Xenopus tropicalis: one gene and its partner. The protein of the gene in region 2 purifies or fractionates together with the protein of the main gene of each other region. This does not show direct contact. Links are inferred from orthologs where the notes say so. Each region holds a gene or a part of one and is shown on either strand. Other genes may lie near its edges. The genes, in order: lsm12 and atxn2l.

The links.
Region 1: the proteins of atxn2l (region 2) and lsm12 purify together in Homo sapiens (affinity purification with mass spectrometry; 4 studies listed by BioGRID and IntAct, with this or other methods). This does not show direct contact. The link is inferred for Xenopus tropicalis from reciprocal best matches to the Homo sapiens genes ATXN2L and LSM12.

Annotation. Positions count from the first base shown.
Region 1 is NC_030686.2:18,353,010-18,356,824, forward strand, and holds part of lsm12 (protein LSM12 homolog), read right to left. Parts: intron 3,673-3,815; coding exon 3,539-3,672; intron 3,184-3,538; coding exon 3,074-3,183; intron 1-3,073. UniProt on the Homo sapiens protein: Nicotinic acid adenine dinucleotide phosphate (NAADP) binding protein. Confers NAADP sensitivity to the two pore channel complex (TPCs) by acting as TPC accessory protein necessary for NAADP-evoked Ca(2+) release.
Region 2 is NC_030685.2:382,434-386,952, forward strand, and holds the start of atxn2l (ataxin-2-like protein), read right to left. Parts: upstream 2,993-4,519; 5' UTR 2,902-2,992; coding exon 2,765-2,901; intron 1-2,764. UniProt on the Homo sapiens protein: Involved in the regulation of stress granule and P-body formation.

The DNA of each region.
Region 1 (3,815 bases), on a different chromosome or scaffold from region 2:
ATTCCCTTTTCTCTGTAATAATAAAACAGTACCTGTACTTGATCCCAACTAAGATATAATTACCCCTTATTGGGGGCAGAACAGCCCTATTGGGTTTATTTAATGGTTAAATGATTCCCTTTTCTCTGTAATAATAAAACAGTACCTGTACTTGATCCCAACTAAGATATAATTAATCCTTATTGGATGCAAAACAATCTTATGGGGTTTGATTAATGTTTTATTGATTTTTTGTAGACTTAAGGTATAGAGATCCAAATTATAGAAAGACCCCTTTTTTCGGAATACCCTTGGTCCCGAGCATTCTGGATAATCGGTCCTATACCTGTACTAGGTGCCCTTTAAAGGGGTGGTTCACTTTTAAATTAACTTTTGTTATGTTGTAAAATGGCCGATTCTGAGCAACTGTAATTGGTCTTCATTATTTATTTGTTATAGATTTTGAATTGTCTCCTTCTAAAATTGGTCACTGACCTCCGCAGCCAAAAAACTATTGCTTTGTGAGGCTATAGTTTTACTGTTATTGTTACTTCTTATTCTTTTTATATACCAGTTTCTCATTCAAACCACTCCCTGGATGCTAAGGTAATTTGAACCCTAGCAACCAGACAGCTACTGAAACTTCAAACTGGAGAGTTGCCGAACAAAAATTGAAGTTAGGGATTCACCAAATCCAGGATTCAGTTCGGGATTCGGCCGAATCCATGCCTCTGGCTGAACCAAATCCGAATCCTAAAAATCATATGACTTGGCCACGTTTACACGGAAGTTGAAAATTGTTTCCATTTTTAACCCTTCCAAAACCTAATTAGGATTCGGTAAATGGCCAAATCCTTACAAAAGTGCATTCTGTGCATCCCTAATTGAAATAATTAAAAAACTGCAAATAAAAAATGACCCAAGAGGAAATTGTCTCAGGATATTACATCACACTAAAACTTAGCTCATAGGTGAACAACCCCTTTAAGCTCACGCCCTATAAATTGAGTTAATGTTGAATAAGGAACTGCCCTTTAAAGGAATTGTAACATTTTTTAAAATTCAAATACCCTCTCAATACTTTTATTAGCAAATACAGCATAGCAAAATTTCAATAGTATAAGTTCAGGCAGCAGCTCTCTCCCACCATTGCAGTAAAACCCATAAATCACTCATTAGACGGACTCTGAAAACTCTAAAGAATGCAGCAAATTAACTTGTCTTTTCTTTTGCCCTATAAATTAGTGGTAATGTATTTTATTCAAAAACCACTTATAACATTGCAATTTTTTTTAAAGTTACATATCTTAACAGTATTTAGAGGAGCCAAATACGAAGTTACATTTTGAGCTACTTTTCCTTTTTAGAAACATGGCTGAACACAATGAAAGCAGGTCCTTACTGAAATACTTCAAATCAGTGATCAATTCTCCTTTCTCTGACTATTGCAGAGCATTCAGAAGGTTTCTATGTAGTGGTACCAAGGTGATATATATATTAAATCATTTAAAAAAAAAAAAAGGCCATTTCATACATAGGCCGGCTGGGGCTCAAAACACCTTGGATAGTCAAATCTTCTGAAGCAGCCCAAGATGGACAGCCTTGATATACATAAGGATCTTATTGTCAACACCACCACCCCCATCAGCTACAAGTGGAGAACAGCTTACTGAAGCTCCTTTAACATTAGAGAGTGGAAATCAGAACCCAGTTCCGGCAGGCACTGGCAACCTAGATGTCTTGTTTTTGTCACTTTCGTATTGTCCTAAAATTTTCACCTTTTAATCTCTAGCAAACATGAATTAGTTGATGTTACATGTAATTAATGAGCACCTAATGCATCATAATGCTTAGGGTTACCAACTCACTGCTGTCACAGAGCTGCTTTATAATTTAACCACTTTCAATGCTATATAGCAGGGCTGTGGAGTCGGTAGATAAATTCTCCGACTCCTCAGTTTCTGATACTTCCGACTCCTCTGTTTTTAATATGCTAATGTATTTTATACATTCATTGAAGGAAAGGAAGGAGACATACATGTCATTTAACCACAGAACTACTGGCTAGGAAGCCAACACTCTACTGTATTGCCCAAGTAATTAATTATGACTGTTTGTGAATTGGGACATTTAAACTTGCTTTATTTTTTTTATTCCCATTTAAATTTAGTAGGAGTCGGTTCATTTTTTGCCGACTCCAGGTACCCAAAATTACCTCCGACTCCACAGCCCTGCTATATAGTGCCTGTCCCAAAAGCAAGAACAGATTTCCTGTTGTACACATGCAGGGGCTGTTTTGTGCACATTAAAGGAGACATATTGGACAAATAGAAATAAACATTAATCTTGAAGGCAATTATGAATAATATATGGTGCTGGTTTTATATTGCTCTAAAACTTATAAAGATTGCTCTAAAACGTATAAAGACTTGGAGAGCAACACAAGCACCATAAAAGTTCATGGAAGGGACACTATCAGATTACAGGAGACTTTATTTGGGAGTAAATCTTATTTTTATTCAACCAAAACTTGTATCTAAGTCGACTATGAAGATTTTCATTCATGCAGGTCATGGTATATCTAGTAAGTCAGGAATTCAAAAATAACTACCAGGTTTGGGGGAACGGAGAGCCAACATCCAAGGGGTTGGTGAGCAACATGTTGCCCCCGAGCCACTGGTTGGGGAACACTGCTATAGACCCTATCAGGTGTCTCTCCAATTCAAACAAGGGGTGGGCATGTCCTAATGATCCCTGCCAATAGCACAGTAGGAAGGAAGTAGCCAATCAGAGCCCTGCAGTCACACAAGCAAATACAGGCTTCAGTTCCCTATCAGGTCAGTGTGTATTTAAACTTGGACAAATAAGGGACTCACTCAAGAAAATGTCTTCAAAAATATCCTAGAGCTTCCTGTCTGATCACTTTTGCCAGACAACAGACAGCCGTAAAACTATGAGGAGGAATGTGCAACTACAATCTTAAATGAAGTACAACAGATGCTTATACAGAATGTAAATTTGATTCTGCTCCTGCGAGTGCACCTCTGCATCTGCTCATGGTATCTGACAAAGATGGTTAGTGGTGAAGACTCACGTCTTATGAATGGTCTGAAAAAGTTGCTGTCCATCCAGTGACACTCCAGCACTGATAGCGTAGGCCTGGCTCAACTTCTCTTCCTTCTCTAAGCGAGCTCTGCTGGCAAGCTGCAGACATAACAGCAAAAGATTTACTTAGTTTTACTCAGTACAAAAGCTGGGGTCAATAGGCTGAAATAAAGCTGGGAAACTATCTGCAAGGAGTTTGTATATAACCCCCTTGCTTTCATGGTGTCCTGGTACTCAGGTACACTCCCACACACTGAAAACATACAGGCAGGTTAGCTGGCACCAGATAAAATTGACCATAGTTGTAAATGTGATAAAGTGCTATATAAAGAATATTATTAAATACTGACTAAATGTAAGGTGACCACCAGTGTAGCAAACACAAAACAAACCGCAACATTCAAATCAGAAGTTTGGAAAATGACAATATATTAAATTGCAAATAGGTTCCTACCTTGGTGATATTGAGAGAGGCTAAGGGCGGTGGGGTCTGTGTTCTTTCGTTTATCACCTCTACGTCAGACACATAGTCCAAATTCAGGAGAAGGATATCAGCATGGTTGGGCTTCCCACTGGAGGAGGGGCACTCTGCAGAAAAGGAGGTTAAGGAAAAGAGCACAGAAAGGGCAGCACTTAAGCACACAGCTCATTTAAAAAAACAAAAAAACAAAACAAAGCTACCCAGTCAGTTGATCGGCTCACGGGTAAAAAAAGAAATTATGTCTTCTACA
Region 2 (4,519 bases):
GGGGTAAGTGGGCAGGTAGTAGGGGATCTAATGGGCTAAATACTACGTGCCCCTGGCAGGGGTTTATAGGGCACCTACATGGGGTAAGTGGGCAGGTAGCAGGGGATCTAATGGGCTACACACTACGTGCCCCTGGCAGGGGTTTATAGGGCACCTACATGGGGTAAGTGGGCAGGTAGCAGGGGATCTAATGGGCCACACACTACGTGCCCCTGGCAGGGGTTTATAGAGCACCTACATGGGGTAAGTGGGCAGGTAGCAGGGGATCTAATGGGCTACACACTACGTGCCCCTGGCAGGGGTTTATAGGGCACCTACATGGGGTAAGTGGGCAGGTAGCAGGGGATCTAATGGGCTACACACTATGTGCCCCTGGCAGGGGTTTATACATGGGGTAAGTGGGCAGGTAGCAGGGGATCTAATGGGCTACACACTACGTGCCCCTGGCAGGGGTTTATAGGGCACCTACATGGGGTAAGTGGGCAGGTAGCAGGGGATCTAATGGGCTACACACTACGTGCCCCTGGCAGGGGTTTACAGGGCACCTACATGGGGTAAGTGGGCAGGTAGCAGGGGATCTAATGGGCTACACACTACGTGCCCCTGGCAGGGGTTTATAGGGCACCTACATGGGGTAAGTGGGCAGGTAGCAGGGGATCTAATGGGCTACACACTATGTGCCCCTGGCAGGGGTTTATAGGGCACCTACATGGGGTAAGTGGGCAGGTAGCAGGGGATCTAATGGGCTACACACTACGTGCCCCTGGCAGGGGTTTACAGGGCACCTACATGGGGTAAGTGGGCAGGTAGCAGGGGATCTAATGGGCTACACACTATGTGCCCCTGGCAGGGGTTTATAGGGCACCTACATGGGGTAAGTGGGCAGGTAGCAGGGGATCTAATGGGCTACAAATGGGCTACATACTACGTGCCCCTGGCAGGGGTTTATACATGGGGTAAGTGGGCAGGTAGCAGGGGATCTAATGGGCTACACACTACGTGCCCCTGGCAGGGGTTTATAGAGCACCTACATGGGGTAAGTGGGCAGGTAGCAGGGGATCTAATGGGCTACACACTACGTGCCCCTGGCAGGGGTTTATACATGGGGTAAGTGGGCAGGTAGCAGGCGATCTAATGGGCTACACACTACGTGCCCCTGGCAGGGGTTTATAGGGCACCTACATGGGGTAAGTGGGCAGGTAGCAGGGGATCTAATGGGCTACACACTACGTGCCCCTGGCAGGGGTTTATACATGGGGTAAGTGGGCAGGTAGCAGGGGATCTAATGGGCTACACACTACGTGCCCCTGGCAGGGGTTTATACATGGGGTAAGTGGTCAGGTAGCAGGGGATCCAATGGGCTACACACTACGTGCCCCTGGCAGGGGTTTATAGGGCACCTACATGGGGTAAGTGGGCAGGTAGCAGGGGATCCAATGGGCTACACACTACGTGCCCCTGGCAGGGGTTTATACATGGGGTAAGTGGGCAGGTAGCAGGGGATCCAATGGGCTACACACTACGTGCCCCTGGCAGGGGTTTATAGGGCACCTACATGGGGTAAGTGGGCAGGTAGCAGGGGATCCAATGGGCTACACACTACGTGCCCCTGGCAGGGGTTTATACATGGGGTAAGTGGTCAGGTAGCAGGGGATCCAATGGGCTACACACTACGTGCCCCTGGCAGGGGTTTATAGGGCACCTACATGGGGTAAGTGGGCAGGTAGTAGGGGATCCAATGGGCTACACACTATGTGCCCCTGGCAGGGGTTTATACATGGGGTAAGTGGGCAGGTAGCAGGCGGTAAGAGATGCAGGGGGCATTGGTGAGGCAGGGGGCATTGGTGAGGCAGGGGGCATTGGTGAGGCAGGGGGCATTGGTGAGGCAGGGGGCATTCGTGAGGCAGGGGGCATTAGTGAGGCAGGGGGCATTCGTGAGGCAGGGGGCATTGGTGAGGCAGGGGGCATTCGTGAGGCAGGGGGCATTCGTGAGGCAGGGGGCATTCGTGAGGCAGGGGGCATTGGTGAGGCAGGGGGCATTGGTGAGGCAGGGGGCATTCGTGAGGCAGGGGGCATTGGTGAGGCAGGGGGCATTGGTGAGGCAGGGGGCATTGGTGAGGCAGGGGCATTGGTGAGGCAGGGGGCATTGGTGAGGCAGGGGGCATTGGTGAGGCAGGGGGCATTGGTGAGGCAGGGGGCATTGGTGAGGCAGGGGGCATTCGTGAGGCAGGGGGCATTGGTGAGGCAGGGGGCATTAGTGAGGCAGGGGGCATTAGTGAGGCAGGGGCATTAGTGAGGCAGGGGGCATTAGTGAGGCAGGGGGCATTAGTGAGGATGGGGGCATTGGTGAGGATGGGGGCATTCGTGAGGCAGGGGGCATTCGTGAGGCAGGGGGCATTCGTGAGGCAGGGGGCATTCGTGAGGCAGGGGGCATTGGTGAGGCAGGGGGCATTAGTGAGGCAGGGGGCATTCGTGAGGGAGGGGGCAGCACAATATTGGGGGGGGGAGGGTTAAGTGCCCCCCCCGGGTGAATGGGAAGGAATAGACCCAGAGGATTAGTGTGCGGCCACAGTGGGTGCCGGGGGGGGGGGGGTACCGGGGAGACCCCGGGAGGGCAGGGAACAAACCCAGGGCCTGCAATCCCCACGTGACCCGGGGCCCCGCCCCGTCCCCGGCACAGTCGGCCTGTGATTGGCCGCGCCGCCAGTCACTCACATAGGGCTGCCGGTAAAGCGTTCTCCCCAGCCGGGCCCCGAGTGCTTACCTGCCGGCTCCGGGCCTGTCCTGGCTTCTGCTCCCGCCTGGGGGGAGGTTCCCGTTAGGGCTGCCGGGGGATCCTTGCTGCTGAGCCGGGGCCATGGCCGGTTTGCGGCTGGGAGGGGCCTGTTGCTGCTTCAGCATATTCCGCCGGGGGTCGGACCGGGGCACGGGGGGCAAAACACGGGAACCGACGGCTGAAGGGTCAGAATGAAGCGGCGCCCGCCTACCTCACTCTAACCGCCGCCGCGACACACTGCGTGTGAACCGGGCGGGGCTCCCAGCAACCAATAGCGCGCAGCGCTGCAGGAAGGAACAACGCCGACAAGCCAATCAAATGCAATGCCCGCACAGCCGCCCAATGAGAAAGAAGATGGAACGCAACCCCCCCACCCGCCACTCACACCAATGGGAGTCTGCTCAGGAGGCGGGACAACACTGACACGAACCAATAGGCGGCCAGTCCCTGCTGCGCGTACATTAGAGAGGGGAAGGGGCGGGGCTGTGAGGTGGCTACCGCGGTGACCTCTCACACTATATAGAAAGGGCCACACTGACCGGAGGGAAGCCTTAGTGTTGTAGCCGGTACCGTGCGGAAGCCACGCCTCTCAGCGACCCTCGGGCAGCTACACACTGCGGCTCCCATTCCCCCAAGGCGTCACTCTCCCTAGCCCCGCCCACCGGCATATGCCTCCTTCCGCGCCACTTAAGCACAGACTCACCACCCCCAGCCCGTATCCCTCCGCCCGCGCCACACAGACAGGGTGTGATGCGACACTGCAGTGGGCGGATCCTTCCGCAAGCGGGAAATGGGGGAGGGGGGAACTCTGCATTCTATTCCTTCGCCAGTGGGTTTTGGGGGTTCCCTTGCCGTCTCCCACATCACTATTAAACACATGCTGCTCCATGGAGTGTCAGGGGTTTGGTTTAGAGGTTTTGGGAGTCCATAGGAGGGAAAGCAATGATGGGGGAGGAGCCAAAGGCTTTGTGGCATTGATACAGGCAGATTGGGTTAAATACCTATAGGTACCTAGTGGGTTGGCGGGGCAAACATGAGCGTAAGTTGGTATTTATAGACAAAGCGGCACAGACACAGGCTGGGAGGGAGAGGCGGCCATTAGCATGTAACCCTGGTGGCACGGTTTCATATTATTATTATTATTATATACTGACCCCACTGGGCACTGTGTGTGTCTATGGCACTACCGATATACCAGCTAATAAACTGGCATCAACCTGGGCACAGCAATAGCGATACAGCAGCCGCTGCTACTGAGACAAGCCAGGGAAGAGAGCGGCGACACCAAGAGACAGTCCAGTGTGAAATGAGAGAGACCCCAAGACTGGCAGCTAGGCATGGGGCACTGAGAGATGAGCCAGGGAAGAGAGCGGCGACACCAAGAGACAGACCAGTGTGAAATGAGAGAGACACCAAGACTGGCAGCTAGGCATGGGGCACTGAGAGATGAGCCAGGGAACAGGGCGACACCAAGAGACAGACCAGTGTGAAATGAGAGAGACGCCAAGACTGGCAGCTAGGCATGGGGCACTGAGAGATGAGCCAGGGAAGAGAGCGGCGACACCACGAGACAGACCAGTGTGAAATGAGAGAGACGCCAAGACTGGCAGCTAGGCATGGGGCACTGAGAGATGAGCCAGGGAACAGGGCGACACCAAGAGACAGACCAGTGTGAAATGACAGAGACACCAAGACTGGCAGCTAGGCATGGGGCACTGAGAGATGAGCCAGGGAACAGGGCGA